Cricetulus griseus: one gene and its partners. The protein of the gene in region 1 interacts with the protein of each later gene in a pairwise test. Links are inferred from orthologs where the notes say so. Each region holds a gene or a part of one and is shown in the gene's direction. Other genes may lie near its edges.

What was found.
Region 2: the proteins of Dtnb (region 1) and Abi2 interact in binary tests that used the Homo sapiens proteins (3 or more experiments, as listed by UniProt). The link is inferred for Cricetulus griseus from reciprocal best matches to the Homo sapiens genes DTNB and ABI2.
Region 3: the proteins of Dtnb (region 1) and Cep63 interact in binary tests that used the Homo sapiens proteins (3 or more experiments, as listed by UniProt). The two-hybrid records come from large-scale screens. The link is inferred for Cricetulus griseus from reciprocal best matches to the Homo sapiens genes DTNB and CEP63.
Region 4: the proteins of Dtnb (region 1) and Ppfia1 interact in binary tests that used the Homo sapiens proteins (3 or more experiments, as listed by UniProt). The link is inferred for Cricetulus griseus from reciprocal best matches to the Homo sapiens genes DTNB and PPFIA1.
Region 5: the proteins of Dtnb (region 1) and Txlna interact in binary tests that used the Homo sapiens proteins (3 or more experiments, as listed by UniProt). The two-hybrid records come from large-scale screens. The link is inferred for Cricetulus griseus from reciprocal best matches to the Homo sapiens genes DTNB and TXLNA.
Region 6: the proteins of Dtnb (region 1) and Spz1 interact in binary tests that used the Homo sapiens proteins (3 or more experiments, as listed by UniProt). The two-hybrid records come from large-scale screens. The link is inferred for Cricetulus griseus from reciprocal best matches to the Homo sapiens genes DTNB and SPZ1.
Region 7: the proteins of Dtnb (region 1) and Sntg2 interact in binary tests that used the Homo sapiens proteins (3 or more experiments, as listed by UniProt). The link is inferred for Cricetulus griseus from reciprocal best matches to the Homo sapiens genes DTNB and SNTG2.

What each region holds. Positions count from the first base shown.
Region 1 is NC_048600.1:14,466,537-14,470,696, forward strand, and holds the start of Dtnb (dystrobrevin beta), read left to right. Parts: upstream 1-1,360; 5' UTR 1,361-1,483; intron 1,484-4,160.
Region 2 is NC_048595.1:414,643,516-414,647,612, forward strand, and holds the start of Abi2 (abl interactor 2), read left to right. Parts: upstream 1-1,297; 5' UTR 1,298-1,444; coding exon 1,445-1,561; intron 1,562-4,097. UniProt on the Homo sapiens protein: Regulator of actin cytoskeleton dynamics underlying cell motility and adhesion. Functions as a component of the WAVE complex, which activates actin nucleating machinery Arp2/3 to drive lamellipodia formation.
Region 3 is NC_048597.1:210,823,446-210,826,945, reverse strand, and holds part of Cep63 (centrosomal protein of 63 kDa), read left to right. Parts: intron 1-1,590; coding exon 1,591-1,796; intron 1,797-2,474; coding exon 2,475-2,754; intron 2,755-3,500. UniProt on the Homo sapiens protein: Required for normal spindle assembly.
Region 4 is NC_048596.1:56,858,600-56,862,099, forward strand, and holds part of Ppfia1 (liprin-alpha-1), read left to right. Parts: coding exon 1-175; intron 176-3,500. UniProt on the Homo sapiens protein: May regulate the disassembly of focal adhesions. May localize receptor-like tyrosine phosphatases type 2A at specific sites on the plasma membrane, possibly regulating their interaction with the extracellular environment and their association with substrates.
Region 5 is NC_048595.1:23,393,060-23,397,081, forward strand, and holds the start of Txlna (alpha-taxilin), read left to right. Parts: upstream 1-1,222; 5' UTR 1,223-1,340; exon of another isoform or gene 1,341-1,355; intron 1,356-1,889; 5' UTR 1,890-1,895; coding exon 1,896-2,061; intron 2,062-3,004; coding exon 3,005-3,343; intron 3,344-4,022. UniProt on the Homo sapiens protein: May be involved in intracellular vesicle traffic and potentially in calcium-dependent exocytosis in neuroendocrine cells.
Region 6 is NC_048595.1:311,346,326-311,349,308, reverse strand, and holds Spz1 (spermatogenic leucine zipper protein 1), read left to right. Parts: upstream 1-1,334; coding exon 1,335-2,483; downstream 2,484-2,983. UniProt on the Homo sapiens protein: Transcription factor that binds to the DNA sequence 5'-CANNTG-3'(E box) and the G-box motif. May play an important role in the regulation of cell proliferation and differentiation during spermatogenesis.
Region 7 is NC_048600.1:32,272,781-32,276,280, reverse strand, and holds part of Sntg2 (gamma-2-syntrophin), read left to right. Parts: intron 1-408; coding exon 409-480; intron 481-3,042; coding exon 3,043-3,249; intron 3,250-3,500. UniProt on the Homo sapiens protein: Adapter protein that binds to and probably organizes the subcellular localization of a variety of proteins. May link various receptors to the actin cytoskeleton and the dystrophin glycoprotein complex.

The sequences.
Region 1 (4,160 bases):
GAGAAATGACCCTTTGAGTCATTAAAAGAAGACTTAGCTGCTGGGCGTTGGTGGCTCATGCCTTTAATCCCAGCACTCAGGAGGCAGAGGCAGGTGGATCTCTGTGAGTTTGAGGCCAGCCTGGTCTACAGAGCGAGTGCCAGGATAGGCTCCAAAGCAATACAGAGAAACCCTGTCTCGAAAAACAAAAACAAAAAACCACCACCAACAAAAAAGACTTAGCTGTTCCTAAAGAGTTTGGAAAGGATTCTATTAAAAAAAAATGGGACCATGAGGTCAGGCATGTTGGAGCATGCCTTTAATCCCAGTGCCCAGGAGACAGAAGGTGGATCTCTCGAAGTTCAAGGCCAGCCTGGTCTCCAAAGAGAGTTCCAGGACTGATTGGGCTGTTACACTAAAACCTTATCTTGGAAAAAATACCAACCAAGAAACATATAAGGGGCTGGAGAGATAGCTCAGCAGTTAAAGAGCACTTTGATGTTATTAGAGGACCTGGGTTCGATTTTCCAGCACCCACAGGGCAGCTCACAGTTCCAGGGGATCCAATTCACTCTGCTGGTCTCCCGGGGGGGGGGGGCGCACGTGTGTGATGAACACACATACTTGTAGGCCAAACACTTATACACATAACATAAAAACATCAATCCTTTTTAAAAATGGTACTATGAACTGACCGGCCCCTGCTCCTTTGCCCAAGCTGTTTTTAGCAAGTCGAAACGTTCCCACTTTCAGGAACTACCGCGCAGCTAAGCGGAAGTAATCTGTTCCCCCTTATCCTCTCACAGCATCCGGCTGTGGCTTGGCTATTCGCAGGTGACCGGACTCGGTCCTCGCAAGGCTGCTCTTCCCCCTGAGTTACGCGCTCCTGGGGCCTAGGGGCCTGTGACCCAGAGCATGTCCACGGCGCACCAGACGCGGAGTCAGTGCTCAGTGAGCCTGCTGAGTCAATGTGGAAAGTCACCCGGGGCAGGAGCCCGCGCTCGAGGCGCGGGTGAATCATTCACCGGGTGTTTCTTGGCATTCCTTACGGTGCAGTCACGTCGGCGCAGCATCCAGCCGCCGGGCAGCTACCTGTGGAGTGGAAGCGCGCCTCCGCCTCCGCCGCCCGCGCACCGCAGAGGCCCGGAGGGGGCGCGCGAACCCGCGGGAGGGCACGCGGCCGCCTCCCCGCCCCCTCTCGTGGCGGAAGCCCCGCCCCTCGCGCGCCCGCCCGCCGGCCCTCCGCGCGCACCCGCCCTCGCCCTCGCGCCTCGCGCCCTCGCGCCGGGGGCGGGCTCGCTGCGCGTGCCGGGCGGGGGAAGCGGCGCGAGCCGGCGCCGGGAACGTTCGCCGTGGGGGCGGCTCCGGGGCCTGAGTGGGCGCCGTCGCCTCAGCCGCTGCAGCTGCTTCAGCCGCCTCAAGTCGAGGGGGCCGGGCCGGAGGAGGCTGCGGCCGCCGGAGAGCCACGCGACGCCCCCTCAGCTCCGGCCGGGAAGTGAGCCAGGTGGGGAGTCCTCCGCCCGGGCTGGAGGAGCGAGGAGGGAGCCTGCGGGGTGGCGGAGCGCGCGGCCGTGGAGCTGCGACCCTTGGGAGACGGCACGCCGGGCCGGGGAGGGAGAGAGGAAGGGGGGGTCCTCCGGCCACCCGCGCGCACGGTGGCGGCGGGGCGCAGAGCCGGGCTGCGCGCGCCTGCTGATGCAGCGGGAGCCCGGCTTGCGGGGAGGAGGCTCCGGGTTAGGTGCTGAAGGGGGCGAAGGCGGCAGGTCCTGGCAGAGGGCAGGTGAGGCAGGCAGGCCCTGGCAGAGGGAAGGGAATTCATTCCAGATCGCCCCCTCGGTGTCTCCCGGTAGACGAACCTGTCCACCCAGGTCACCCTTGATGGGTATAGTGTCCCGAGAAGAGACGGGAGGATGCGGCTGCCGAATGCTTACGGTTACATTCCCCGTGCCAGGCCTTGGGGAATCAGGGAGACCTTCCAGCATTCTCTGCAAAGCGTTTATTGATTAGCTACGGAGCAGGAGACAAGCGCGGTCAGCCCCGGGGTCACGACTCAGTCACTCCCAGCCATCATTTGCTGCTCAAGTGCTGACAGTTGGGCCGTGAAAGTATGCATATAAAATGTAAAGCGCTCAATTTCTCGTCTCTTGTCCTGGTCATTTCAGCCTCTTTAGTCTTTTTTCCATGGGAAACCATGGGAAAAAAGATCCCTAAGTTGCTTGGTTTGTGGAGAAAGTAGGCTACTCAAGGGAAGCTGGTGGGAGTTATTGAGAAGAGATTGGAAGGGTCTTAGTGACATTTAAAAGAGAGGGAAAGGAAAATTTAAAGAGAACCTTGCCTTCTCAACTAGAGTTAAGCTTAGTCCTCAGGATGTGGCCTGGATCCCAGTAGTCTTAGAATTGATGTCCACTGAATGAGTGTTGGAGGAAGCAGGGGTTTGATACATTTTATATGGAGTAGTGTCTGCCTCTCTAGAGTTAGGGGTGGTTGGTGGACTTCTTTGGGCCTCAGATCGTCTTTTTGCCTCGGGTAGCCAGGGTTTTAGGCACTGGGTAGGTTAAAACAGTGGCCTGGGTGGCAGACTCCGGTGGCTTGTGGCCAGTCTTTTACATCCACGTGGTTCTTGCATGTTGGGTACCAGGCGCTTGCTCTTTGGGTGGTCTCTTGAGATCCGGTTCTGGTCCTTCTCTCATTGGCTTTTTGTTTGTTTTTGTTATGCTTTTTTGAGGATGGAGTATGCTTTTGCTACGAACACTTGTAGTTTCTATTCTGCCTCTTGGGTCTGGGCTCTGAGGTGACAGAATGCTGAGGTGAGAGAATGTCTGGTCAGTCCTGTAAGGGCAGGAGTTCCGTCCTCCACCTTCCAGGGTGTTGGACTCTCCAGCCCCAGGCTGCTGTTCCCTTCCTCTGGCTTGCAGTGCTTGTTGGGTTACTTTGCTTGCCAAATTAAAACTTGACCTTTTATGAGTTCTCTGAGGATTTTTATCAGACATAAGTGGAACTGCCTCTGAAGGAGGTTGTGAAGTCAAGGTGGTGCTGGCGGTGTCATGATGTTCAATAATTTTTCCCGGAAGACAGAATTTCTACTTGGAGTTAAAATACTAGAGTTCATGAGATTTCCAGTTACCATTTATTTCATGTCTTCAGTGTTAACATATCTGAGCCTTAGTTCCTCATCTAATGAAAGTAATATCAGTACAAATTTGGCGTTGAATATATAGTGAGCCTTGAAGCAACACTTTTATTTCATGTTAGTGAGCATGCAACCTTTAAGTTTATAGTAAGTTTTGTTTTGGGGTGTCTACGTGGCTCTGTAATTTTTGGTACCTTGGTTTCAGGCTTTCCTAATATTTTCTAGATGCTTAATTTACACTTATTTCAAAATCAGTGCCCCCTCCCTTTTGAAACAGTGTCTTGCTGAACCCAGCTGGCCTGGTACTCAATATACTGTAGCCAAGGATATAGGCTGACCTTGAATTTGTGGCCATCTCCTCAGTCTCCTGAGTGAACCACCCTGCATGGTTAAAACAAACTTTTTTTGTGATTTTGTTTTTAAGATAGAGGTCTTCTCTATGTTGCCCTGACTGACTTTGAGCTTGTAGTTATCCTCCTGCCCATGTGTGCTGGGATTACAGGTGTGCGCTACTGTTCCTTCTTGATACATAGTTAGCATATGATAAAAGGGGCAGATTTTACATGTTGAATTGGATGTTTTAAAAAACCATACATATTGTTGGGTGTGGTGGCACATGTCTAAATCCCGGTCTCTGGAGGCAGAGGCAAGCTGATCACTGTGAGTTTAAGGCTAGCCAGGGTTACATGGGGAGACTGTTTCAACAGAAAGTAAAATCAAAAGGGAAACAGTAACAAAAGCCCTCTGCAAAGAAAACAAAAACAAAGGAAAACCATATATAACTGTGTAAACTATCCCAATCAAAATATATACATTTGTATCACCAGAAGATTAACTCATGCTATCTTTGAGGACAGCCCACCCCATTTTACTTATTTCAAATTACATATACATTAGAGCTGTGGTTTCTGGTTGTATGCTGTCCAGTTTTAGGGGTATCATTTGCGTTGGAGTCTCTGTGCCTGGCAGCTCTTGGACTTCAGTAGTTCAAGTAGCTCATAATGCATACTTGGTTATAAGATACTCAGATAAAAAAAAAAAACCCACTTGG
Region 2 (4,097 bases), on another chromosome or scaffold:
TGTTTTTAATTAAGCTTCTCACACACTTGGAGAACATTCACACTGAGACAGGTGTCTAAAGCAGTTAAGAATAGATCCAGCTGGACCACATCAACATTTAAAAATAGTGTTTTGGGCTCTGGAACAAAAGTTCACACATATTGGTAAAGTATTTATCAAAAGCTAATGAAACAACACAGGGTTTACTCCACAAATGTGTGATGGTATGCATTTTATTTTTTTTTAAGGAATGTATAATTGTTTCCTCATCCATCTGAAAACTGATTGCAGAAGGGCCAGTGACCGCAAGAGCAATAAAAGGCTGAAGCCACAAATCCTGAACTACCCTCTAAGATGGTACCCTTTGGGTTTTCCACAGAACAAATAAAAGTGACCTCAATATCTCAGAAGATGCCAGTTTTATTTTATTTTTTTCAAGTTTCACCATGTGGGGTAATCATATTTATGAAAAAAGATTTGACATCTGGATTACAAGCAAGATCAGGTTGAACTACCTTGAATTGTATTAATTAAACATCTTTCAATGTGCGCTCATTTAATTTTATTCATGCCCAAACCATATGAATAATGAAATTAGTACCAGCAAAACCACCATCGAAAATTTGGGAAAAAAAAGTCAAGAAAGAGGAGGAGCTCCAGTCTGGGCAACCACAGCATACATATACTTGTAATTTCAGCCAGCCTGGTCTACTTCGGGGAGACTTTGCAAAAAAGATAGGAGAGAGGGAGACCTGGAATACGAATGAATGAATGAGTGAATGAATGAATGATGAACAGATTTGGGATTAGGTGACTGCAATTTACTTTGTAAAGGAGAGGATGAGGTCCAAGGTGGCATTTAGAGCTACCTGGAAGTTCAGTGGCTCTGGCTGCCCTGATGAAGTGTGACCTCTCACAGAGGGTGTGTGAGTGAACGTGCCCTCCCTAGGCCTCCGGAGGGGCCTGGAGAGCTTCCTCGGGCGGATAGCACCGAGGTGAAGGATGGGGGCGGCGGCGGCGCATTCCCGCCGGGCTAACAAAGGCAGCGGAGGGACTTCCAGAGCCGGGAAGCCCGCGCGGGGCCGAAGGGTTAACCCGGAGCCCGGCTCCCGCGCGCATCCCGGCCCCCGCCTGCCGTCGCTAGGAGACGCCGGAAGTGGGGGAGGGGCGGCGCGGGTGGGAATCTTTTTCGGGAGCCCGGGGGCGGAGGGAGGGAGGGGAGCGCGCGTGCGCGTGCCCGCGCTGCCCGCCCGCCCGTCGCCGCGGTGACCGTCCTCGCGGCTCTCGCCGGCTCGCGCCCCCGCCTCCGTCCCCCGCCCCCTCCCGCCCTCCCCGCCGCGCGCTGGGGGTGCCGCTCGCTCCTCCCGATTCCCGCCGCGCTCGCCGCTGCTCCTCCTCTCTCAGGCGTCGCGGCCGCTGCCTCTGCGGGCTGTATGAGGAGGCGGAGGAGGAGGAGGATGTGAAGATGGCGGAGCTGCAGATGCTGCTGGAAGAGGAAATCCCGGGGGGCCGCCGGGCCCTCTTCGACAGCTACACGAATCTGGAGCGGGTGGCCGACTACTGCGAGAACAACTACATCCAGGTGCGTCGCGTCCCCCCGGCTGAGCGCGTCAGGTCGCGGGAGTGTGCGGGGCGCGCGGGGCGCCGCCGCCTGAGGAGGCCGCGCGGTGCTCGGCCCGGGGAGCCGCGCCGGGGTGGGGACGGGCGAGGGCGGCGGCGGCGGCGGCGGCGGCGGGAGGAAGCGGGCTCGGCGGAACGCCCCAGAAGCCCCGTGCGGGTCCGCGGTGCGGTGCGTGCGTGTGTGGCGGCCCGCCTCCTCATCGCTGCCCCTTTGCCCCCGCACTCTTCGCCTGTCAGGGTTCCGGGCGGCGGCGGAGGAGGTGGCGAGTGGCATTTTGTAGATAACGGAATGCTGCTCGGATGGCCGGGTTGTGTGTGATAGAGGGATATGTTACCTCCTGCCCAATTCCCAGGGGCTTTTAAGGGGTCCAGTTCCTGCAAAGTGAATTGCTTCGGTTTTCCCTTCCTGGGAATGTCCCCTGAAGACAAAACAAAAATACTTAACCCTTAAGTTTAATTTTTTTTTTTTAAGGTTGTAAAGGGGACACAGTGGGACGGCGTCCCTTATTACAAGTTAATGGCATTTTTCTCAATACAGAGAATGGGGAACTGCCCGATGATGGGCTGCTTTTCCTCCCCAATCCCCGTTAGAATAGGTCATTTTCCTATGGGAAAAAGAACTATGACTATTTTTCACAAAGATTTACGAAAATGAACCTTAGTTTTTTTCCCATGATGATTGCTTTGGCACCGGGACTCATAGTGGGTGTGTGTAGGAAGGTGAGAAGGTGGGGGAAAGACATTGGTGAGATGAGAACCAGCTGGTCATGGATGAATGTTAAAAATCTTATGGGTTAAAACAACGCTTTAAAAATTAACTAATGATTTTCAAATCCAGTATCTCTTGTTTTCCGTAGGGCATATACGGAATTTTGGGTTGTGCCTCGTTTATGTTCTCTGGATAAAGTGGAAGCAGGGTGTTAAGCTGTTAGCCCTTTTTAAACATTCTTGTTCCTACTCCCATCTCTGCAGATACCCTTATCGTAACCAGTTATATTGGAAAGCATTCTCAGTAGTTAGTATGAATTGTATATATTAAAAATTCTATAATTTATAGGTTCATAAGTTTTCTGGGGACCACATGGTTAATCAGAGATAATGTCATTAGGTTTTTCATTGATTACACATGTACTGAACTCTACTACTGTTGCAAACATTTGTGTTGGGGAATGAATCTGACATAATGGAATCCTTTTCCCTTCAAAGAAGGAGTTGAAAATGTGTGTTCAGTAGGAAGAAAGTGTGACTTTGGTTACAGATTGATTTAAAAACAAATCAAAACCCTAAGATACTTGCTAATACAGAGCTGTGTAGGAGTTAAAAGGTTTTATTGCTTAGCTTCACCAGTCTTCTTTGGCCCAGAACTGTTGATGGTACACTCCTAAAGTCTTCAGGGGTTTATAATGTAGTTCAAGAGGCTGATCTGTGAGCGAATTAAACCCATATTAGTACTATATATCGTCAGCCCTTCTTGTTGGAGGGTCCTACATTTGTGATTCAATAAATTGATCAGTGAAAATACTCCCTCTGTATAAATGCAAAGAGACGTTTTTCTTGTCTTTCCCTAAAAGATAGTGTTAACACTTAATGGGCATTTACATTTTATTAGGTATTGTAGGTAACCTGTAGATTTAAAATATGGAGGAGGATGTGTTATGGATAACATGTAAATATGCAGTTTTATGTAAAGGACTTGAGTATCCAGAGATGTTGGGATGGGGCTGTGGTGTTGGTGTGGGGGGTGTTCTAGAACTGATCCCTATTGGATACTGAGGGAAAAGTCAAGTATAGTTAATTTATACTTTGTAGTGGATTGTGGGTAGGGAGGTTTTGCTTATTTTCAGGGATTCACAGCTGCTAGGAGAGGCAAACCTAAAAGTGCTAATTCTGTTGCCTCATGTAGCATATTGTGGGAAAGTGTCTGTCAGAAGAGAAACTGGGGGATGGAAAAGTGATAGGATTGTAGTTGTAGCCGACTAATAAGAAACAGGTTTGTCTGTCTTTGGAAGATTAATGCTACTATGTTAGATTATAATTGCCACATAAAGGGAAGCATACATGAATTGATCTAGTGGAAAAGTGTAAAATCAGCATTTGTCTTAAATTTTATAATTCTAGCTGAAAGAGAAGTGTCAAAATTGGTATGTTATTTACGTACTTATTTTTGGTGTTGGGGATTGAGTTTAGGGTCTTGTGCGTGTTAAAAATATACTCTACCTGAATTATACTCTGAGCCCACGGTAAAAGCACAAATAATAATTTCCTAGAAATGGATTTTGAATTTTGAATCATCTGTTTTCAATTTAGCACCTGAAGTAGAGTTTGTACTTTGATTGCTTAGGTTGTCCTCTATTGTGGGAATCACTGGATTTATTACAGTTGTGCTCTCCCAGGTGACACTTCTTACATGATAACTAGAACTGGTGATAGTTGATTTGTGCTGACCCAGCTGTACATTTGACTCAAGAACTGACCAGCAGGGGTCCTGATGCTGTCTG
Region 3 (3,500 bases), on another chromosome or scaffold:
GTTCTCCTGAATCCTAGTGGAAACATTGATCTTTCTTTATTCCCCTAAGTACATGCCTACATGCCTGCTACCTATTTGTTATGCTACCTTTACCAGTTATGTACCTGGAGTAGTTGTTAATAAACCACTAAGTCTTGGAGATTCTAGAAAGATGCAGGGAAAGACAGTATTATATATATCTTTTAAGAATGTGCAGTGGTTCTCAACCTTTCCAATGCCTTGACCCTTTAATACAGTTCGTCATGTTGTAATGACCCCAACCATAACATTATTTGTTGCTACTTCACAACTGTAATTTTTCTACTGTTAGGAATCATAATATATTTTTAGAGTTAGAGGTTTGCCAAAGGAGATCATGGCCCACCGGTTGAGAAATGCTAGTTTAATGATTTTTTTTAAGACATCAAAGTGGTAAAAATCCTGTCAGTTTTAGCTTTCTGTGGTTCCAGAGTTACATATAGTGTGGATATCTTGTACAAATTGTCAAAACATAACTATTAGGAAATGCTTTTTGCATGTTATCACCTAGGAAGCTGAGATTACTTTTCCAAATTAATCTATAATTATTTTAATGAAGCAGCAGTTTTCATGAATATTGGCTACTTTAAAGATGGGTAGCAGGTGACAGTGCAGCCCATGCCCTGCAAAAACAAAGACAGGTAGCAGTGGACAGTGTAGCCCCTTTGTAGTATACAAATACAAAGATGGGTAGTGGTTGACAGTATAGCCGCATGTCCTGCAAATACTCCTCTCTGAGATGTTGTCAGCCATGGGCAACTACTGAAAGGTCTTGTAATTCCTAGTTTACAAGTGCATTTACATGTTTGTGACTTGACAGGTAAATTATGTTTATCAGATCACTATCGACCAGCTTGCTTTCACAGTTTTTTTTTTTTTTTTTTTTACAGAAAATGAAATGTTAAACTGTAAAGATCACCATCATCTTATAGAATGCTAATTAAAATCTCTCATGAGAAAAAGTAGACCTGTATTATCAAGAAATAAGATATGTAATCATATAACTTAGACCAGATCACAGTAGTAATTCCTGCTATATACTTGAGTCCTGCTTTTATGTTGCCTAGCTTTTTAAAACTAGGTACCAAAAAGTGCTTTTGGTGAGAGGGTATTTATTTAAAAGCTACCCCTTTGGGCAGAATTCTTTTTAGAGTCTTGTGTTTAAATTACTTTCTTTGAATCAGTTCTTTTGATTTCCTTCCACAGGTATTCTGTGTGAGTAGGGGTGGGGTGGAAAGGGTGCCCCTCATTCTCCTTTAAGAGCCATGGCTATTATATTCTTGATCTCCCCTATCTCTGATTCTTGAAGCTTTCCTCTGCCCTGTTTCTACCCCTGATGTCGAGTACAGGAGGACGCCATCCTGCCCCCAATTTCCTCCTCCCTTCCCTCTAGGCAGACTGATGCTTTCTTTGTGTTCATCTTAACACAGCTAAAGACAAATCTTCACTTTCTCTAGGTAAAGCCACAGATTAGATAAAACTGGAAAAGGAACTATTTCAGCCAACACCGTTGCAGATTGATCATAAGTACCCTTAAACATACAAGTGATTCTAGTATTCTTTTTTTATTAGGCAAAAGAGATTTCACTAACAGACCTTCAGGAGAATTATATTGAGGCATTAAATAAATTAGTGTCTGAAAATCAACAACTACAGAAAGATCTGATGAACACCAAATCTCAGCTGGAGCATGCTACTCACGTGTGTACAAAAAAAGATGGCAGGATCTTTAAACCAGCACGCAGCAGAGTAGCTGAGTTCAAGAACGCAGAGTTTAAGTAAAGTTCCTTAAAAGTCTCTTTGACATGTGTGTGCTGCCGTGTGATTTCCTCTGCTTTGAGAAGTGCAGTCATCACAGGCTCTGGGTTTAATTCTGACTGCAGAGTGCACAAGTGGCTCAGGTGGTTCGGCCTTCATTTCATTACAGCTTTTGTTCTGTGCACCCTGCTTATAGGTGTGAACCCCATTTGTTCCCCAGAGCGTTTTCATGCTGCCTCCCACCACCTCTATCCCACCTGTTCCATAAGAAGTAAAACTTGGCTTATTATAAAAAGCGTCCATTGTATTTTTGGTCAATTAATATCAGGTTGTTACCGTAAGAAAGATTCAATGAGAAGCCACTGGCTTCAGTGTGTTTTCCTATCAAAAGCCTTTGGTGACACTCTCACCCACAGTGACATTATGTGGCTGCCTTCTCTGGGCATGGGGCTGTCCTGCCTGGTCACTCTGAATCACTGTGGTAGCTTGTTTGGCCTCTGCTATGGGGCAAGCATGAGAGCAGAGCTTGAATGAGTGAGGAACACTTGTCCTTACATGGGCTGCTCGTTTCTAAGTGACAGCACCTTGCTACCTAGCCTGTTATTTAATGTTCAGATGAGCATGCTTCTTTCAGCATTTATCGGAAAGAAAATTTGCTACAATTTTTCATTTATTTTGTTTTCTAATCTGCTATCCAGGCCAACCCATGGCCAGCACAGACATGATGGAATAAAGACTGAGCAGTACAAAACAGGTCACCACTCGCCTCGAGAACAAACGTTGGATAGCATAGAACCCATGGCCAGGGGCCCCAGCCCCATGAGTCCTCACACCAGCCCTGACAGCTCCACCGTGTCTCTGCCTTCCAACTTTCTATGCTATGCTCACTCTTTGCCTTCAATGCTAGATATAAATGATGGCAACTTTTCTGACATCCTGTCTGACTGTATGAATGACCAAGAAGAGTTTGTATCTTCGGTATGGAAACGTTCTAATCTTAACATTTATTTTTATATTTAATTTAAGGTGAAAAGGGTGTTTTGTTTTACTGGGTCCCAATCAGTAGTACCCTTTATTATTTTCACACATTTCCACCATGCAGTTTTACTCATGAAGGCACATTCAGCCAACATGACTTCAAACTCACGTTCTGAAATGAGTGTAGGTATTCACTGACAGTAGCCTGCACCTTCCTGCCTGCCTTTTCTAGAGAGGGCTGACTCTGTTGCAGTGATTGCATCAAGGGCTGTTTCTGGATGCCAGCAGAGTTCCAAAGCATGGGCAGTGATAAGGGAAAAGGGGCTGTTGGGAAGGGGCTGGTGGCAGAGGGCAGACGGCAGTGCATCTGAGGTGTGCAGAGTGGCATTTGGGTATCTGAGATGGCCCTGGTAGTAGAGGCTATCTGTGACTCTGTGCTGGTTCCCCCACCACTAGGCTCCACTGTTCTTTGTCCTCTGTAGGGAAGCACTTGTGTTGGGCCATTTCATTGCCTGTTGTCAGCTGTAGTCACATCCTTGTGAAGGTTTCAGTATGATTTTTAAAATGTGTCAGCAATTCCATGGAAAGGTTTCCCTTTAGTTTTCAAAATGAATGTTTTACTTTCATGTAAACAAACAAACAAACAACTTAACACCTAGAGAAGTGACTTTTTTCCTAAGTTTGGCAGCACACCTTTCCTGATTTATGATATGTGAATTTTATGGATGTCACTTTTTCTGAAGAGT
Region 4 (3,500 bases), on another chromosome or scaffold:
AGTGGGCAGTGGAAGCTTGGATAATCTTGGTCGTTTTAGATCAATGAGCTCCATCCCCGCCTACCCTGCTTCCTCGATTGCTGGCTCTTCTCCTCCAGGCAGTGGTCGGTCCACACCGAGAAGGGTCCCTCACAGTCCAGCCCGGGAGGTGGACAGGCTGGGTGTCATGACTCTGGTAAGTGGGCCTTTTCTACTTCAGCCTACTGGTGAAGGGTTACACATGGAAGTCACATCTTCATCCAAGAGGTTCCAGAAGGGGTGGAGACAGAGGCAGGTGATTTCTTTTGAGTCTAGCCTGGTCTACATAGTGAATCGGGTTAGCCAGGACTATATAGTGAAACCCTGTCTTTTTTTTTTTTTAAGTTAACTAGTATTTAGTCAACAATGCAAATTAATTATAATACTTAGATGACCAAACCAGCATGTTACACTTAATTATGGGGTGCTAGGCAGGGGTCTGGTGCAAGCCAGAAGGGGCTATGCTTCCTGTTTGAACAGAAATGACTGGAGAGGTGTTGTAGCATGTGGGAAGACATGCAGGGAGCCTGGGGTGGAGGCCAATGGTGGGATGAGCACTGCTTAGCCTGTGCCAGGCTTGGCTTCCATCTTCAGAAATTTAAAAAAAAAAAAAAAAAAAAAAAAAAAAGTATGAAGGAGTCCCTTAGCCCTCACAGCAGGGGTGTCTCTAAGCTCAGAGTCACAAGGGCCACTCAGGAGACCTGTGGATTACGAGCTGAAAGAGATGGGCATCTTGACTGGTTAGCTTGGGAGCACTTTTGTCTCAGAAATTCTATGCCCCAAGTGTGTGGATCTCAGAATTTCTAGTGACTGTTGAGGATTTAGCATGTGATTGATCCTAAGAGCCTACATACTAAACTTGGACTCAGTCTATATCCTAGCTACCCTGCCATGCTGCATCTCTTTTGCTGCTGCTTTCATTTGTAGTTTCCATGACGCTGGCAGTGGGCATGTAACTAATTCAGTGGAATCATTTTAATGAGCTGTTGAATAGTATAGTCTCTTGTATTTTGATGCACTGTGTAATACCTGTCATTAGTGCAGGGGGTAAGGTCCTAACTTTCATGGCATGGTCTGTGGCTTCATCCTCCTTCCAAACACTTTGTAGGAATAGCTGTGTGTTTTTCTCAGCTTAAGACTGACTTACTGCTGTCAGTCTACTTCTGCCTGATCCCCATCCCAGATCCCTGTCTGTCTGCCCATCTGACACCTTATGCTGTGACAGCCCCACCCCCCAAGCACCCAAGTGTACATCTGCAGTATGCTTGAGGAATGCATTGTTGTTGGCCGGTGGTGGCACATACCTTTAATCCCAGCATTTTGGAGGCAGAGGCAGGCACATCTCTGTGAATTCGAGGCCAGCCTGGTCTACAGATTGAGTTCCAGGACAGCCAAAGCTATGTAGAGAGGTCCTCTCTCAAACAAAAAAAAATGTAATTGTTGGCTCTTTTTCATGTTAAGAATGCATTCTCTGTTACTTGTGTTTCCTGCATGTGGACACAGGGAGGAAAGTCTGTGATTCTACAAGGGAGTGTCCTGTATGTCCAGGTGACCTACCTTGTGTGGTACTGATGGAAGCCCAGACACAGCCCCTTCTGGTTCTGGTGTCACTCGGCTTTCAGCTACCTGCTGACAGACTTGCTGTCTTTGATAAACTCTTACATTTAATACTGTGCACACTGTAAGGCCTAGAGGCTCTCCCTGTAACCCCACTAGGTTTTCTTGGAGCTTTTCACAGGAGCAGGGAGAGTTGCTCTTACTGCCTTAAACAATCAGCTTATTTTTGAAAAGTTTTAAATCAAATTCTAGGTAAGGATTTTAGGTTAATATCCAGTAGGTTGTTAACTCAAGGCTGGTTTGACTTTATAATAGATAATGTAACAGCTCCTGATGGAGTTCTTAAATTCCAGTGTGTTTACAACTAGCAACAGAGAGGCTGGTTTCGAGTGAGGGTCATTAGAGTCCTTTCTTACAAGGAATGCTGGGTTTTAATGCATTGCCTGTGTTGAAACTCAGTCTTAACTAAGTGTTGCCTCCTGGGAAATCTGCATACTTTTTAACTGTCTTGAGAATGTTTATTTCCAGTGTTGTTTCCTCTCAGTGTTCAACCTGTGCGTGTCCTGGCCCTGCTTATCAATTGTCTCACTGTTCCTTGAGTCTTTTCCCCAATGTGTACAGTAAACCTGCTCTCTCTCTCGTTTCTTCACATGCATCTGTCAGCCTAGTGACTTAAGGAAGCACCGGAGACAGGTAAATCACATGTTGACCCTTATACACTCTGTATCTCCATGAGTGACACAACTACTGTAATGTGATGAGAAGTAACTGATATTTCCCAGCAGTGTTTAGTTTGACCCTGCATGTCATGTTGATGGTCATGTGGGAAGCCTGTCCCTGAAATACTGGGGCAGAAGCATCTGTGTCTAATTATTGCATGCTTTTCTGTTGTTCAGAATTGAGAACAAGAGTTCCTGAGGCAGAGTTGCAGGGGTGCGCTCTGGGGAAGGCTGGGGCTGATGCACAGTGCACTCATCCCCATGCCCACCATGGGCCTACTGTGTGACCAAGGCATTGTCTTTTTATTTATTCTTAACAATTTTGTTTCTTTGAGACAAGGTCTTTCTCTATAGCTCAGACTGTCCTGGAACTTGCTGGATGGCCTAGGACAGCCTTGAACTCACACTAGTCCTCTTGCCTCAGCTTCCCAAGCACTGGAACCATTGTCTTAAACTCTTGCATGCATCCGTGTGGGATACAGGTCACCGCAGTTACTCCATTTATCAGTGTGGAAGCTGAAGCTTCTGTCTCATGGTGTTGGGTTACAGGTGTGTGTTCAGGCCTGCCTTAGTTCAAAAGCTGAGCTGGTGGTCACTTTTTTTTTTTCTTTTCTTTTCTTCCCCCAAGACAGGGTTTTTCTGTGGCTTTGGAGGCTGTCCTGGAACTAGCTCTTGTAGACCAGGCTGGTTTCGAACTCACTGAGATCCACCTACCTCTGCCTTTTCAGTGCTGGGATCAAAGGCATGCACTATCAACGCCTGGCTGCTGGTGGTCACTTTGCTCCTGGGCCTTTTACCAGCTGCCCTGATTCCCTGACAGTACCTAGAAATTGGTACAAGTGCAGCATGTTGGGCAGAGTTGGGAAGAGCTGGCAGTAGGTGTTTTGGTGGTTGACTTAGACATGCTACCTATTATCTTCCATGCTCCAGCCCAGGAGCCCTGCCCTGTCAACCTTCCTTGCTGGCTGCACTGGAGCAGTCATGGCTTCCATCCCCACCTGCCACTGATGAATTTGCCAATGAGTGTTGCCATGTTGGTGCTGTGGTTGGTTGCCTTCTCTTTTAAGTTAAAAAAAAAAAAAAAAGTGACTCACCTGTTCTGCTCAAACAGTGCTTATGCCATGCACAACAGGAAAGTCATGAGTTCCAGGACAGACTGGAATACAAAGTAGGACTTACCTCTCAATACTCAACCAAATGAACAGT
Region 5 (4,022 bases), on another chromosome or scaffold:
ATGGAGTGGGAGTTCACCAAGTTGCCGGAAGCCAAACTCCCTCTGCTACAATCCCTTCCTGAGAGAGCTACTGCCAAGCTGGTGATGACAGAGGTGTCCAGTACACTGCCTCAGAGAAAGCCTGTGACGGCGATTATTTCTTCTGGGAAGAAAGTGGTTAAGATGGGTGCTGGTGTCAGGCTTCTGGCTTTGAATCTGCTATTACCACTCAATATTGATGCAGCCTTAGATTATATAACCTTTAGCTGGGCATGGTCGCCTTTGTCTTTAGTTCAAGACCAGTTTGATCCTCATAGGGAGCTCCAGGTCAGCCAAGGCTACACATAAGGAAACATTGTCTCCAACAGACAGCAAGCAATTAAAAAAGCCATCTCGCCTTTTCCATACTGTCCTATATTTCCTAGATCACAAAGTATCCTGTACTTTCTCCGAGTAATTATGAGGGCCAAGCTATTAGATACAAGAAGAGAAGACAGGGGCTAGAGAGATAGCTCAGAGGTTAAGAGCTCTTCCAAAGGTGCTGAGTTCAATTCCCAGCACCCACATGGTGGCTCACAACCATCTGCTATGAGATCTGGTGCCCTCTTCTCATGTGTAGATATACATGGAAGCAGAATGTTGTATACATAATAAATAAATAAAATCTTAAAAAAAAAAAAAGAATAAGAGAAGACAGTGACGCCGGGCTTTGGTGGCGCACGTCTTTAATCCCAGCACTTGGGAGGCAGAGGCAGGAGAGTTCGAAGCCAGCCTGGTCTCCAGGATGTGCCAGGATAGGCTCCAAAGCTACACAGAGAAACCCTGTCTCCAAAAACAAAACAAAAACAAAACCCCTCTGTTGGAATGGGGGGGGGGATAGAATGCCAGGCACATGACAAATTACTGGTTTAGGAGTGGAACAAAGGTCTCCTAATTCCCAGCTCAGCCTTCTATCCCTCTTCGAGTCCTCAGAGGTCCTAGAAACAGTCATACACGTCCACAGGGATCAATGGAGAAGCGTATGAAACAAACAGCCAAGCGCCAATCACAGCTTCTGCACTCGAAAGGATACTGACGGGAATCTCTAGACTGTACTGCAGAATTTCAGACCTGCAGCGGGTAGAGACCCTAAAAAGGGAGGCATCTCGGGAATTGTGCCCCGCCGCAATGCATGAAGGGACTCGTAGTTCGTTCCCGCTCACGACTCCAAAGCCACCTTGGCCTCGTCTTTCCCAGCAAGCTCCGCGCCAGCGTTAGCTCTTCATTGGCTGCGGCAGGAGCGGGCGGTCCTGCTGGCAGCGGTTACCCGGGTTTCCGGTGCCCGGCCAGAGCGGGGGACGCCATCGGACGTCCGTGGTGAGGTACGTCTGTTGGCGGTAGGTGGGACGAGCTCTTCTGAGGGTCTGTGGCCCAGCTTGCGTTGGCTGCAGAGGAATAACTAATTCCGTGCGGGGGTCTGTGGCGATGTCGCCGCCTTGCGCATGCGTCCGTGGGGCTAGAGGGCGCGCGGGGTGTGGGTGGCTTCCGCGCGGGCTGGCGGGCGGGCGGGCGCGCGCGCCCGGGGGTCCCACGTGGGGCCGGGCCGGGGGCCGGTGGGGGCTGGAGCGTCCCGCCACGTCATCGTGCGGCGGGGAGCCAATCCCGCGCTCGCGTTCCGAGAGGGAGCGGAGTGGTGCTGCTGGGAAGTGGCTTTCGGGAGAAAGGAGGCCTCTTCTTCACTCTCCTCAGGGCCAGCTCCTCCGACACCCTCCCTGCAGGGACCCTCGAGTCTCCGCCAAGGCCGGCCAGTTTGTTTGAAGCTTGGAGCGCCTGGCGTTGGGATTTCTGATCTAGGTTGTGAAATTTTTTGAAGTCTTGAAAATAGCAACTGTGTCGTCTTCAAAGGATCTACCCGTTTTCTGCCTTTGCAGATCACAATGAAGAACCAAGACAAAAAGAATGGGCCTGCCAAACACTCCAACCCGAAGAGCAGCCCCGGGCAACGGGAAGCGGCACCAGAGGGAGCCCAGGGACGGCCCAGACAGACAGCTCCTGCGGCGGAGGCTGAAGGTTCCACAAACCAGGCTCCTGGGAAGACCGAGGGTGTGTGCCTGCTCTGCTTTTCCAGTGGGCAGAGGGAGGAGTTTCTGGGACTGGCCTCGGTGCTGAGGCCAGTGTTTACCCAGGAAGGAGGAACTATGGAATGAAACAATACCCATTCTGTGTGGGTCTCGTGTTTCCCAGGCAGGTGATGAAGCTTCCCTCCCTTAGCCCTGGAATGGAACCTTGGGAGCATGCTCTGACTGGTTTAAATTAAATGACAACTGAGGCACCCCACAAACAAAGTCATGTTCCCAGAAAACACTTGCCAGTGTGTGGGGGGGGGGTAATTGTCCTTCATACTTGAGACATTTCTGGAACTATAAAAATAACCAAAAATGCGTTTTGAGTAGGAAAAAAAGGAATTAGAGGTGGAGTCTCTACTACATGCCACCCAACCCTGGTGTGGTGCTTTATCTACATAGTTGTCTTTTTTGTTTGGTTGTTTGGTTTTGTGTTTTTGAGACAGGGTTTCTCTGTGTAGCCCTGGCTGCCCTGGAACTCTGTAGACCAGGCTGGACTTGAACTCACAGAGATCCACCTGCCTCTGCTTCCCAAGTGCTGGGATCAAAGGCTAGCACTATTACTTCCCAGCCATAATTGTCTTTTATGGTCATAAGAAGTATGTTTGGGTGATAATAATTGTATCATTTTATAACAAAGTAAACTTAAGGTTTGAAAAAATTAAACTGAGGCTCGGCGTAGTGGCCCTCTCTTTTAGTCCTAGCTCTTGGGAGGCAGAGGCAGGTAGCTCTCTGACTTTGAGGGCAGCCTGGTCTACATAGTTCCGGGACAGTCAGGGCTCTGTAGAGAGATCGTGTCTCAACCAAATAAAACAACATTTATCCCAAACTAGTGTATTTGTCTAGGGTTAAAGAAAAAGAAAGTTCAAGCCAGGGATGTAACCATCTTATTTTCATTCTGTGTCCTAATCTTGTTGCTGTAGGGGCTCAAGCTAAAGCAGCCAAGTCTGGGCCCCTGTGTGATGTGTCTGAGGAGCTGAGCCGGCAGCTGGAAGACATTCTGAGTACATACTGTGTAGACAACAATCAGGGAGGCCCAGGCGAGGAGGGAGCACAGGGTGAGCCTACTGAGCCGGAAGATGCAGAGAAGTCCCGAACCTATGCAGCAAGGAATGGGGAGCCTGAACCAGGGATTCCAGTCATCAATGGCGAGAAGGAAACCTCCAAGGGGGAGCCAGGCTCAGAAGAGGTCCGAGCAAGTGATGAGGTTGGAGACCGAGACCACCGAAGGCCACAAGAAAAGAAGAAAGCCAAGGGTCTGGGTGAGAGGGCAGCTACTGGTGAGGGGAGGGAGTTAAGACCTGTCATTTCATGAGCTAGCCTGCTCTGTCAGAACTCAAAGGAATCTGCTTCTCAAAACAGAACATCCCCCAGTTTAGTCAAAGCCATGACTGTGGAGTAACAGCATTGAGCTGTTCAGATTGCTCACCTGGGCAAGGCCTCTTGTCCTTGGAAGCAAGTGAAGGCAACCTGCTCTTTTCCTGTGGACATGTTCATGCTCCACTCCTGGGTCTTAGTTTCCCTATTTAGAAAGCAACAAAATTGGGCTACACCAAGGTAAAGATCTCAAATGTCAACATTAACCAGGTAAACCATGAACCTCTTGAGAATGAAGAGAGGGTCTACTTTATCCAAAAAATTAACTTCTACCTGTTTAGTTCCCTGCCTTCCCCCCCTCCACCCCCCCCAGGGTTTCTCTGTGTAGCTTTGGAGCCTATCCTGGCACTCGCTCGGGAGACCAAGCTGGCCTCGAACTCACAGAGATCCACCTGCTTCTGCCTCCCGAGTGCTGGGATTAAAGGCGTGCGCCACCAATGCCCGGCTGAGTTCCTTGCTTTCTTTTCTTTTTTCTTTATTTTTAAATTTATTTACTTATTACATATACAGTATTCTGTCTGCATATTTGCCTGCATATCAGAAGAGGGCACCAGATCTCATTTA
Region 6 (2,983 bases), on another chromosome or scaffold:
TTCCACTTCTGTGACATTCTTACCTAAATTTTGTAACCCTAGAAATTGATTAGACATTTGTGGTCACCATTAAGAAAGTCCTGGAAGAAGGGAGACACGACAAGGAAATACAGTGTGATCCAGAAGCAGAAGAAGAACTGGGTAACCCAGGAGGACTCAGATGATTTTATTAAGTATGACTAAGTGGCTTGACTTTATTAACTACTTTAGATGCTAGCATTGTGCTGATGTTGGCTTCTGGAATTATTATTCCAGAATAATTCTATTCTGGTTATTCAGGGTGCTTGTTGGATGAGGGTTGAGTGCGAGCTTTCCATTTCTGCAACATTTTGGATCAAGTTGTTTCAAATATTTTAGACAAATTGTTGTTTTAATCAGGTACTGAGAGAAATCACCAAATTTACAGCACCGACTGGAAGAGTAGGAAGTTCAGCATTTAATTGGGGCTTGCTTACAGTTTCAGAGGTTCAGTCCATTGTCATCATGGCAGGAAGGATGGCAGCACATGGGCAGACATGGTAGCTGAGAGTTCTGCCCCCTGATCAGCAGGCAGCAGGAAGAGAGAGACTCTGGACTTGGAGTGAGCTTTTTGAAACTTCTAAGCCCACCCTAGGTGCCACACTTCCTCAAACAACACCATACCTCCTAATTCATATAGTGCCACTCCCTGGTGACAAAATATTCAAATCTTTGAGCCTATGGGGGCCATTCAAAACCACCAGGCATTCCTAACTCTTTTATAGTAGCAGGAGCAATAACACCCCCTTCCATGGCAGAGTGAGGGCCTGATGAGGTTTCTCTCAGCTATACCCTTAGGTGGCTCTGTGGTTTAGGTTGGCCACTATACCACAGAGTGGTATAGTGAGGGTGGGGGTGGGGGGTGAGGTTGGAAATACTGAAATGCCCTTAGGGTGAAGCACCTAGCAGAGAAGAGATGGGCAAGAGTGTTGTAGAGGTCTTATCTCTGAGTAAGGTTGGCTGTGTTGTCTGAGCTGTGGTCAGGAATTTAGGAGACTTCCATTGTGATGCAAAAGAAACAGAATGTGTGGACAGGCCCTAGAGGGCCAATGACACAATAAAGACCTAGTTGCCAGGTCCTCAATACCAGAAGCCTAGCAGAAGGGAGATGGAGCCCAAGCTCCAGGTCCCCCTTCCCACCCCCTCCCCCTAGGCTGTCTGAAATGTCACCTTCTACCTGAACACCACCTCCCTGGTCTCAGTCATTAACTCTGGTCCATAACTCCTGCTTGGTTCCATCTCCTCCACCAACTCACACGAGACTGCCATCTGTTCTTCCTGGAATCTCCAAGGTTTTCTGCTTTCCTCGGGCCCTCATGGCCAGTTCTGACAGCTCATCTGAGATGCCTGCCTCACCTCAAACTCCTAACTCTATTCCTTGTATTAAGCAAGGACTATCAGAACCAGCAAATCCTGGGATCACCATTTCCCTTCTTGAAATTGGATCACTACCCCCCTTCTGCTGGGGCTCCCTTCCACCACCAAAGGATAGTATTCGTCCACTAGGAAGAACAGGGTTGGTACAGAAATTTAGCAATCTCTTAAAAGATGTCAAAGATGTTCTTAAAAGTATAGCAGGCAATGAGGAGATGATGACTACAGAAGTCAGGGAGTCTTTTGACGATGCCAGCACTTCCGAGGATATGTTAGAACCTAAAATCAGAGGTGTTGATAGGAGAAAAAAAATGGGATTTAGAGATATGCTCACTAATTTCCAACTAGAGAAAGAACAGAACATGAAGAAGAGGCGGGAGATGATATTGCATAACCAGAGTGCTAAGAACGCAATTCAAGCACATAGAAGGGATCGATGCAACTCAGAAGAGAAAAAAGGCTGTGATGACATGCATCTGAACATAGAAAGAGGCCGGTATGGATCCCTTCACATTCATGGGGAATATAGAAGACTCAGGAACAACATGGAGCAGTTACTGCAGGAAGCAGATCACTGGAGTATACAACACCGCGAGCTCAGTGATCTAATGAGGTCGTATCAGGAAAGCCACAAAGAAAGGAGAGAACCCTCTGAAAACAATCACATCTGTTACCAAACCCAGGCCAACAACGAACCGTCAACCAAACAGGAGCTGGAGGCACAGGTAAAAAAGCTGAGCCATGACACGCACTCGCTGCATTTGATCGCAGCCCTGCTGGAGAACGAATGTCAGATCCTACAGCAAAGGGTAGATATTCTCAGGGAGCTCCATCTCCACGAAGCTGAACCCCAGCAAGAGAGGCCATGCTATCTGCAGGACAGGAAATATCAGAAGTTCGTGGAAGCAGACAAGATGGAATGTAACAAGCAGAACCCGAAGGTAATGGAAGGCACGTATCCTAAGAAAGAAAAGATCTCCAGGAACTCAGATGCTTGTCTGACAAAGAAGGCTCGGAATAACCGCTGCAACACCCGCGTTGGAAGAAAAACTCTCCTGGTGAAAAGGAGAACCCATAGCAGCTTCCGGTAAAAGCCATCAGAAGCAGAGCCAGCTTCAGTAGTAACTGTCATCAGCCTAGGGTAGATCCTCTATTTCAACCAAGAAAGAGCCCTAGAATAAGAGGTTCATATTACCTCAGTAGTTAGAAAAGTTTGGACCTTAAGACCATTCTGTGAATGTCAACCAAGTGAAGATTGGAATAAAAACAACAAAAGGAAAGCACGTTGTTTGACTGTTTTCATTTTTATTTCTTTAACAGCATCTGGGGGAGATAACTTACTAGTGCATTGAGGAAAACTAACTTCCTTTCCCAGAGGAGGCATTCCCTGGCAATAGCTCCCCTAAAGCACCACTAGACAACCAGTTTTTTTTTTAAAGCATATTTTTATGTAGTTTTGTTATCATGGCTGAATTTTAAGTATTTCTTATAAACTCCTTTAATTGAAAACATTTTCATACAATATATTTTGATAATGTTTTACCCTCTCCTAACTCCTCCCAATTCTTCCACCTCTCTACCCATCCAACTT
Region 7 (3,500 bases), about 18 Mb from region 1:
CTGAAGCAGAAATGTCTAGAGAGTTTAGTGCTAAATAATAGACAGCTGGTCAACAGTGTGTCTGCTGGTCACACTATCTCACATGCATGGTTTTCTTTTTCTGCATTTAAACTAAAATTTAATTGGCAGATGATCCAAAAATGGATCCCTAAAATTATCCCCAGGAGTATAAAGTTCTCGTATTACCAGTGCATGTCTCAATAGAATATCCTTTGTATCCCCATTGCACACTAGAGGAAGACACAGAATCAGAATACAAACCAGACTATAAAGTTTACTGTCACCCAGGGCAAGGGAAATTTAGCATCTAAGTGAGACATGCAGAATCACTCCATGATGTAAGTGCTAGAGCTCTAATCTGAAGGGGCTTCCTCTTCCTACACAAATGTGTCTGTCTGTCTCCCACAGGTAAGCACACTGGATTGGGGACGAGCAGAACGTGCCTATAACCTCTGTGAGGTGCTGTTTAAAGTTCACAAGGTGAGTATCCTTGGCATTTGGATGCCCCTTAGATGACAGAGTGGGAGGAGCAATATGCTCATTGAGGGATATTTGTTCCAGACCAGTTATTTTATCATCTTATTGATTGTTGAGATAGATGGATGGATGGATGGATGGATGGATGGATGGATGGATGGATGGATGGATGAATGCTGAATGATGAAGGGATGGATGTTTTTTGGGTGGAAAATGGATGGTGGTGGTAGTGTGTGTGTGTGTGTGTGTGTGTGTGTGTGTGTGTGTGTGTGTGTGTGTGTTAGTAGCCACATTCTTGAACATGCAGAGACAAGGAGGGTATGTTAGCTTTCTTCTTGTTTCTTCCACCTTATTCCCTTAAAACAGAGTCTTTCATTAAACCTGGAAGTAGGCCTATAGCAAGCTCCAGCAACCCTCCTCTCTCTGCCCTTAACTGCACTGGGGTTCCAAATATACAGGGTCATCCTGGATTTTCTACACATATGGGGGATTTGAACTCGGGTCCTCATGCATGTGCAGCAATCACTCTTACCTGCTAAGCCACCAACTCAGCCCTGTTGAGGAATCCTTTTGTAATCAAATTCAGATTTGTGGCCTAAAAGGAGTTCTTATTTAAGCATGGACTGGACAGGTCAGAACGATGAGTTAAGCAGTTCTAACCAATTAGAGGAAAGTATTCAAAGATAATGAAGGTGGGGGTGGTTATCCACAGTAGTCACATGAAGCTGTCAAAATTGGCAAGTGCATTGCACAGTTCCAGTGTAGCAGATCCACAGGCAGGAAGTAGGTTTCCCTTAATGGGAAGGTGTCATTGCTGATAAGGACCCAATGTAAGGGACATGGGCTTACCTGGGAAGAGTCTTTGTGAGCCCTTTGTTTCCACTGCTGTGGTGACATGCTGGGAATAATGAACAAGACTGTAAATGAGGTGCGCCACTGGACCCATAAGATGTCACTGAGATTTGGGATCTTGGTTTCAGAGGGAATTCTCTTAGTTATATTGTTGGAGGTTTTGTTTTATCTTTTGTTTGTTTGTTTTGTTTGTCTTTTGGTTTTTAAACTGGACTCTTATGTAGCTCAGGCTTGTCTCAAATTCAGTCTATACTTGAGGGTGGCCTTAGACTAACCCTCCTGCCTCTGTTAACCAAGAGCTGGCATGATGATGGCAGGCCCCTGCAGGAATGGGGGGAGAGGCTTTCTAGGTGTGCCACCACCACATCCCTCATGTCTCCTGTGATACGGACTGTAATTTCCAGCTCTTTAAGGCCAGGGAAGTGCACTGCAGGGATTCACAACCTTCTCTGTATTGTGGTCATCTGGAGGGAGCTTCGCCCAAGGCAAAGGATCTAATTCTGCATGCTGTGACATATGAGTCACACATCGAAGCTCTCTTTACATAAAGGTCCCTGGGAATGTTGCTGTGTGGCCAGATCTGTGAATTACCGCTCAGCATCTCATAGTCTGTTCTGAAGCATGTCTTTATAAATAAGCTACATTTTATTGTACCAATTATGTAGAGTTATTAGATACCAAGCTAGATGTATCTTGGTGATCAGAGTTTCCTGTCATCTTTGCACTGTGAGCAAGACAGTTTAAATACATAGCTGCTGTGCTGAATCTATTAATGAGGATGATAGTGGTCTTCATTTATACCTCTTAGCTCAGTATTCTAAGTACTGTCTCTCCCTTGCCCTGCTCGAGTTAATGTTTATTCATCCAGTTATGAACTCCTTCACTACAATTCATGGTTGAAAAAGAGAAAGAACAAGAGCACACTTTGTCTCTGAGCTAGAGACCTATCATTGACTAACAATTCACCTCCAAACTCAGGAGTTAAAACAGCAGCCACCATCCTACAGCTCTGGGCCTGAACTCCTCCTTAGAAATGCTAAACCCAGGCCCTCTGAGGAATCAGTGTAGGCCAAAAAAACTCCTGTGGGCTTTTCTCAGCTTGTTGGGTTTGTGCTAAACAAAAAAATCTCTACGTTTTTAACTTTAAAAGTAAAATATAGTAGTTATCAGTCTCTTAGGAGGAAAGGCTAAACTCCAATAATCAGAGTCTGGGCATAGCTTATGTACAATACTTTTGTGGGCCATTTCTATAGCTGTGTATGAGGAGGAGCCTATTAAAAAGCCTTCTCTCAGTGTTCCCTATTGCCTGCTTCCATACCCTTCATCTGGAAGTAGTAACAACTGGCAGCATCCAGGTCGCTGTAGCTAACCTTGACAGGAGGAAATCCCCAGAGGGTGTTGCTGCTTCTAAACAAGTACATCAGGAACACAGATGGAAGATGCAGCTGCCAGTTGTCTGGTGGGGACAGGACAGTCAGGTGAGTCTGTGGTGGACCATCAGGCTATATCTAGTGCATTATTTGTTTGTTTGTTTGTTTCAGCTATTGTTCCGAAATGTTGCTAAAGCACTTGTCCCATTTGGTGGTTGTGAGGAAGTGATGACCTCCACCAGACCAGGCAAATGCAACCCTCTTCCCAAATGGTGGACTGGGTTCTGTAGTCTGGGCTCAACTTTCCAATTCTGACCCATTTCCAATCCACACTTTTTTTCAGTTCTGGCTTTCGGACAACTACTGGCTACAGGCAAACTTTTATCTGGGTCTCCATGATTTTGACTGTGAAGACCCCAGGCCATACTGCTTTAGCGTCCTGGCCAGCCATGGGAAGAGCCACAACTTCAGCGTGGAGCTGGGCAGTGAGCTGGCTGTGTGGGAGAAGTCATTCCAAAGAGCAACTTTCATGGAAGTTCAGAGAACTGGGGTGAGTATGGTATGGGATTCATGCTTTTCTCACAACAGCTTTTAGGCAGCATTTGACACCTAGGGGATAGAGTATCAATGAAGGTTTATTTCAGGAAAGTGAATCGTGAGAGGTGAACGTTTTTCATCCGAGTCACCATGTCAAAGCAACCTTCCATCATGAGCAGGGCCTTCATTAATAAGCAGAGCTGTTTGTCATAGGGTCTTGCATCTAGTTCATATGTGCATTCATATTTATTGTGAGAAGAGAGC